Linked DNA regions of Yarrowia lipolytica. The protein of the gene in region 1 interacts with the protein of each later gene in a pairwise test. Links are inferred from orthologs where the notes say so. Each region holds a gene or a part of one and is shown on either strand. Other genes may lie near its edges.

The links. The genes of interacting proteins can lie anywhere in the genome.
Region 2: the proteins of YALI1_E22126g (region 1) and YALI1_C33353g interact in a two-hybrid assay, tested with the Saccharomyces cerevisiae proteins (2 studies listed by BioGRID). The link is inferred for Yarrowia lipolytica from reciprocal best matches to the Saccharomyces cerevisiae genes CDC37 and CAK1.

The regions. Positions count from the first base shown.
Region 1 is NC_090774.1:2,210,753-2,214,570, forward strand, and holds YALI1_E22126g (uncharacterized protein), read left to right. Parts: upstream 1-1,883; coding exon 1,884-3,293; downstream 3,294-3,818. Other genes in the region: YALI1_E22111g (uncharacterized protein), read right to left, coding at 1-374; YALI1_E22117g (uncharacterized protein), read left to right, coding at 948-1,493. UniProt on the Saccharomyces cerevisiae protein: Co-chaperone that binds to numerous kinases and promotes their interaction with the Hsp90 complex, resulting in stabilization and promotion of their activity.
Region 2 is NC_090772.1:3,333,877-3,337,268, forward strand, and holds YALI1_C33353g (uncharacterized protein), read right to left. Parts: upstream 1,500-3,392; coding exon 501-1,499; downstream 1-500. Other genes in the region: YALI1_C33332g (uncharacterized protein), read left to right, coding at 1-371; YALI1_C33354g (uncharacterized protein), read left to right, coding at 1,605-2,978; YALI1_C33406g (uncharacterized protein), read right to left, coding at 3,061-3,392.

The sequences.
Region 1 (3,818 bases):
TGCGGCAGAGACAGCATGATGGGGATACTTCGTGCCATGGTCTGGCTGGCAGCCGGCAGCACCGTGGCTCTTCGGCGCTGTGCAAACTCCCACATTCGGTTCATGATGACGGCCATGATGACCGACGTTGACGCGTACGAGCTAACAATGTAGACCACGTGGATGGTGAACTTGGACTCGGGCTTGAGCCAGAACTCGAGGTTTTGCTGCAGAGTGTCGGCAAACGGAGGGGCAGACTGAATCGTGGCCGTGGCTGTCTGGGCCGTGATAGACGAGAGTGTGGGGGTGATCTGGGCGGAGTCTGAGACCAGCGTTTCGGTCGCCGCCACCCCGAGGTCGCCCCCCACCCACTGCACAAATTCCAGAATGTCCATATAGACCAGAGTCGTTGGTGTGGGGATGGTCTGTTGGAGTCAGTCGCACACAGCTCTACTGCTAGTCGGAAATTCAATTAATTAACTCGGAAGGTGGGAGGATATGTTGGGGTGCTTTATCGGTTGCTTTATCGGGGAGAGAGAAACGCGATTAGACCACCCCTCTGGGTGGGTTTATATTTCGAAAAAATATCCAAAATTCGCGGAAACGACTCTTCTATATTACTGGATATTTTTCTCTATTTTAAGTATTTTTCAACCCCCCCAAACACCCCCCTACTGTTCACCCACCCACCCCCGCCGCTCGGCTTATCTCCCTAACTTGCTAACCCTATTTGCCCATAGTGAGCAGGTCTCTACTGGTATGCCAACTACGGACCAACTAGGGACTTTTCAGACTTGTCAGACATGTGATAGTTGCGCTATGGTGGATTATAAACGACAAAAAACAAGACCTTCTCACATGATGACCGCCCATCAACATCCACAAACTCACGGCTGACTTCCATCAACTCTCTTGGAATCAAACTCTCCCTCATCACCTCCCCCAGTCGCCCTTCTCCAGATACCACCATGCCCGCAAGTGGAGAATTCACCTGGCAACTCACAGGAAACGTGGCCATCAACACGCTCTTCTCGGCCGCTTTCCCCGTCTTCACAGCCATCTACGCCATCCGCGGACTCAAGCAGGGCGCCATTGAGACCGCGAGCAAGTCCGAAGCCCGTCTGGCCAAAAAACTCGACATTGACGCAGAAACTCTGTACGAAAACTACTCACCGCTCATTCTCATCGGATACCCAATCTTTGCCGTCAATCTGCAGCCGCTGGGAACTCTGGCTCTTCTCTGGAGCCGAACCACCGGCCTCATTGACCATCTCTCTGATCAGCAGCTGGAAAATGCGCTCAGCACATGGTCCAAGTTCTCACAAGTCTACACCTGGGCAACTGGAGGCATATGCGTGGCAGCCCTGGGAATCTGGTCTCGACGACGTCAGCAGCGACGTAGCAAGCAGGTGACCAAGAAGATGCCTCTTTTGGGCGCTCCCGAGATTTCTCTGCTGCTCTTCTCGGCTATTTTCCTGCCCGTTGTTAGTCAGCCCATTGAGGTGTTCCCTTGATTACTATAGAGCGATGATAACATTGCTGTCCAAAATGTTGATGTTATTTATATGATATGAATACTGGAGACGAGACTGGCTGCCTACGTACAGTACATACTCGTCAACTATTAGGCCAAGTAACAATAACGTTCAAGTAGAGTGTTCTGGAAGAACCTGGAAAGGGGGTGGTATTGGGCGCAATTGATAAGAAAGGAGCGGTTTTTTCGTTTGAAATCGCATCTTCCAGTCTCAATTATCCGTCTCACGTGCTCATTTATCCAGTTATCTTTCTCGTACCCCTTTTTCTATGCATCTACCTCAAACCTCTCCACGTGACACTGCCCTACAGCAAACCATATATATATACTGTATACTTGATCCCCATCTCAACATCAGACACAAACAAGAATGGTGCTGGATTACTCGAAATGGGACAAGATTGAACTGTCGGACGACTCGGACGTGGAGGTGCATCCCAACGTGGACAAGAAATCGTTCATCCGATGGAAGCAACGAGACATCCATGAGAAGAGAGATCGAAATAAGATGGAGATTGCGTCGCTGGAGCTCACCATGAAGATCGATGTGGAGCTGGTGGAGCGTCTGGACAAGCTGCTTAGTCTGCCTCAGGCGCAGCTGGCCAAAGACTCCATTGAGGAGCTGCTGGTCAAGTCCAAAGAGGGTCTCAAGGCCAAAGATACCCCCACCGCGCCCAATCCCCAGAAAGAAGGGGAGCAGATGAACTGTGACGACATGCTGGAGAGTCTTCTGGACATGATCAAACCCGACGTGGATACCGACAACGGCGCCACCTTCTACGACAAGCTGAAGGAACATAGAGACAAGCTGGTGGACCACGACAAGAGCCACCGAGAGCGCCTAGCCGAGCTCTACGACGAAAAGGCAAAGTACATCACCTCCGAGGACGTGCACGATGTCTACAACTCTACAGTTTTGAACAAGACTGCAGAGCCCGATGCTGGAGAAGACGATCTGGCCGATCTGGAACGGCCCAAGAAGACCGAGACCACCATGGAGACTCTCAACAGTCCTGGACAGTCGACTTCTTCTGACGCTCCTGTTGAGAGCACGCTGGCCAAGGCTTCTGACGACACAGATGATGACTATTCTGATCCGTCTCCTGCTGCCCGCAAGTTTGCCGAGATTCCCGCTGATGATCTCAAGGAGTGCTACCGGTTTGTTTCGAAACACCCCGAGATTTGCACCGAGAAGGAGAAGGATGCGCTGGTTATGGAGGGGTTCCAACTGCAACTTGCCGGCAAGACTGCCGACATGGAGAGAACGGTTCACAATGCCATTTTATTGCAGTACTGTGCGCAGCTGGGCCCCAACGGCTACAGAAACTTCTTTGAGCGGATCCTGCAACCTCAGGGCCACCCCGCTCTCGAGGTGCTCAAGAAAGACGTGGCGTTCACCATCAACCATGTCAAGACGCGGTGCGAGATTCTCAAGAAGGAGAGCGAGGAGGAAAATGAGCAGATCCAGCTGCATGCCGTCGACCCCAACACGGAGATTGTGGTGAACCAGCCGCCCCAGGATGACGCGGACGCCATGAAGGTTTTTGGCGAGCTGTCGCCTGAGATGCAGAAGGCGGTCGAGTCCGGCAAGCTGGAGGAAATCAACAAGGTTCTGGCCAACTACTCGGTGGAAGATGCCGAGAAGGTGCTGCGAATGTTCGATGAATGCGGCATTCTCGCCGTGGAGGAAAAGATCTACGATGCAACCGAGTGGCAGAAGCAGAACAAGGACAAGGAGGTCCGGGATAACGTGGACCAGATTGTGCACAAGGAGGAGTGACCAGAGTCAAACTACAGTATGTACAAGCGCGGTACTTGTATGTACACGAGCACATAGGAATAAGATAGTCATACAGGAAAAAAGCAATTGTGAAACAAGCAATACCAGCTGTGCAGACGATACTGTGCGGGTGAAACATGTCTGCACGGTTTAATACTGTCTTAGTGCTTGTCCATGATGCAGGTTGGACAAGCCGATCGGCATAACTTGTAACAATGAAACGTATATGAGACTGCACCTTCCATGGGGGAACTGCACAGCGCACAAGACAACGTTTGAGACAGTAATGCAGCCTTCTCTCGATTGTTCCAGCTGCAATTTCCAAGTCCATTATCACGCCAGCAGGTACTTGTACAAGGGCGGGCTAGTTGATAGAATGAAGTCATGGACCAAGTCAAGCAACCTTTTGAACTTGTCGGATCAACTGGACCTTGCTATCACGTCGACAAATGTCTCTGAAAAGCTCCACAATGGGACCTTCAACACCCCTGACTGAGAATGTACCACACCAGCTGTACTTCAGCC
Region 2 (3,392 bases), on another chromosome or scaffold:
GTCGTTCCGATCTGGGAGTCGGGATTCCTCCGGAGACCAAGAAGCCGAGCAAATCATCATCCCCGAAGAAGAGGAAACGGTTCTCGCGGTTTTCTGACCTCACAGACGTGGAACGAACGCTTTCCAAGCGCATGTTCTTCACCAAGTGTGGGCATGTCTACTGTGGCCTTTGTGTCCAGTTCATCAAGAGAAGAAGAACTAGTAGACAAAAGAAGGAGGACAAGAGCAACATCAACGTCGATTGCATCACAGATTTCAAAGGGCGATATGTCGACACCCCATTCTCACTGATTGACCACTGTGTTGTTCCAGGATGTAAGGAGAAATTGCCCAGATCGAGAGGCAAGTTTTTCAAGGAGATGTTTACTTAATTTATATGCATTTATTGGCTAGCTACCACGCTAGTCACCAAGACAAGATGGGTTTGTGTAGCTATATAGGGGAGATTTTTTATCGATACCGGTATTGTACCACGACAAAATTGTTTGGCACAGGTGAGTTTAGTTTGTGCGGCTTAGCTCAACGACATCTGCAGCAGAAGCACGTTTGTGAGCCGAGTACTTGAGCATCTCTTGCAGTATGTCTTTACTCTTTTGTGTTCCTCGCAACAGAGACAGTCCATTTCCCTGGGTTTCGGAAAAGTTCATGCTCTCAAAAGCAGGTACACAAGCCACCTCGGGCCATGTTTTCGCGGAGGGTGTGCCCAACTTTTCGAATATGTCAGCCACCAGTCGCAGATCTGACACTCCATCTTGTACCTCGTTGGAGAAGAACGGTTTCCCGTTTCTAGTCAGCAGATATGCTAATATGCATCCTAGGGACCAGATATCGACCTTGTCGTCGTAGCCTCTGATTCCAAACAGCAGTTCTGGGGCTCTCCAGACGCCTGTTCCTACGTCTGTGATTTTTTCGTCTGCTTTTTCTGATCCCCCGTCCTTCCACGACACTCCAAAGTCGATGAGCACCGGCTCCGAGTCCTTGGTTTTGAACATGATATTCTCTGGTTTGATGTCTCTGTGGATGATGCCTTCTTGGTGGATATATTCCAGACCACTTGCGACTGCTGTAATGATTTCGATCGCCTTTTCTTCCGGAAACTTGTTTCTCATGGTGTCCCCCCCAGGCTCAATGAGTGTTGGAAAGATAGCCTTGTGATAACCCTTGGCGAGATCCTCAAGGGTGTATGGGTAGTAGTTGAACACCAGCACCTGTTGTTTTGTGAACACCTGGCCCGAGTCGCCCCACATCTCGTCGTCAGAAGAGTCAAACGGGTCCCTCTCTTCATAGTGGTCCAGCAAGGAGACAATGTTGGGATGATGGCCTTTGACTTCCTGAAGAATAGCTAATTCTCTGGCAAAATTGTGGGGAGGCCGTTGTGCTCCAGGTCGAATGCATTTAAGGGCCCGGTTGTTCTTTTCGTAGACTCTCGAGAACAGACCCCGGCCGATTTCTTTCATTTTAACGAGTGTGGTGCATCCAAGCAAGACGTCGTCTATCATGGCGTGCCATACATACAACCTGCAGTTCGAGCCTTGCGACAATGTGGGACAAAGTTCACAGTATACAGTAAGTTGGCAACAGCCCTCAATAACCCACCACACACTATGGACTTCACCTCGGTAACAGAAAGCTGGGTAGACGGCCAAATTGGTGCGTCTGTCTACGACTACGGCGACAGCGAACCCCTCACAGACGACCTGCGCTCCTCCAAACAAAAGGCTGTCGAAGCAGCATATAGCCTGGGCGACCTGTCTCTCCTCAAACTACTGGCACAGTCAAAGGGCGGTCTGCTCAACTCCAAGCTTCGAAAACAAACCTGGCCATTGCTTTTGAGTGAGGCATCGGTAACAGGAAGCGATCCCCCAGAAGACCCGCACCCTGACGAGACACAAGTGCAACTCGACATCGACCGAAGTTTCGTCTACTATCCGAAGTTTGAGGACGATGAGAAATGCGCCGAAGCCCGTCAGAATCTGTCGAAAGTCATTGTCACGGTGCTCAGACGCAACCCCCAGCTACGGTACTATCAGGGGTACCACGACATTGCCCAGGTAGTGTACCTGGTCATGGAAGACGTGCACCAGTCCATCCAGGTGCTGGAGAAGATCTCGCTCATCTACCTCAGAGACTTTATGCTGCCCTCCATGGGTTACACCCTTGACCACTTGGAATTCATTCCCTCGCTGGTCACAGAGCTTGACTCTCATACTGGCGATCAAATCAAAGAGGTGAGACCGGTGTACGGTATCTCGTCAGTGCTGACCTGGTTTGCCCACGACATTCCCGAATTTGACACCGTCTGTCTCTTGTTTGATTTCATTCTAGCTTCTGGGACCATGGCAACGCCTCTGTTTATTTATGCATCCTTAACGTCTTTAAGATCGGATGAACTCAGCAACCTGGACCCAGAAGACATAGACATCATCAACTGTGTTCTAAACACCTTTCCCAAGACAGAACAGGAAACCGTGTCTCGATGTATCCAAAAAGCCCAGAAACTAGCGTCAAAAACCATGCTGGAAAATTATCCGGCCTGGCATAAACTGTCAAACTACTCTGTATTGAAGACGACAGCTGCGCAATCGCCCCAGGCTGAATCTCCGTCAGAGTCCATTCTGTCGTCTAACAGCATGTCTTCTTCCGCTACAGCACCCTCGCTGATTAGCTCATACCTCTCGTTACAAATTAAGGAGTCCGAAGTGCGGGAGGAAAACGAACGTTTGGCCCGCCAGAAACTCATTGACAAGCGCAACCAGCAGCGGGAACAGAACAAGCTTTCTAAGAAAAACTCGTCGTCGTCCATTTCCATCCGACGTATCTTCTTCTTCTCTCTGTGTATCGGACTCACCAGTGTCATTCTGGCCATATTCATTTCCCCCAAGGACAGCCGGTCGTATCTCACCAGACATTTTGAGGCTGGAATCCAAGGATCCCTCCAGCTCCTACACCGAATTGCTACTGGTCAGCATTCGTTTTAATTTATTGCAATACAGATTCTAGCTACACATCGTTAACACGGTAATTTTATCATGATTATATATATGCTTTTGGCTTGACGCCTTAAAGTACTTCGTGGCCTTGAGCAACGTTGTAGTCACTGGCTCCGGCAACCGAGTCCGAGTAGACATGAGAAGAGCCCTGGGGTCTAAGAGCAGGGGAAGAGTTAGCAGAAAATCCTTGGTGGTTGTAAGAAGGCATGTGAGGATCGCTCATCCACGCGTTCTGGGGAGGCAGTGGCACGTAGCGTCGCTTGTCCATTTCAAAGTCTCTCCATCGCTTCATGACAATCTGAGACGAGTCAAATTCACCATCCTCCTCGTCGTGGCCTCCAGAGCCCTTCTTTTCACCAGCAACCTGTCGAGTGTCACCCCAGGAGAAATCATCAAACTTCC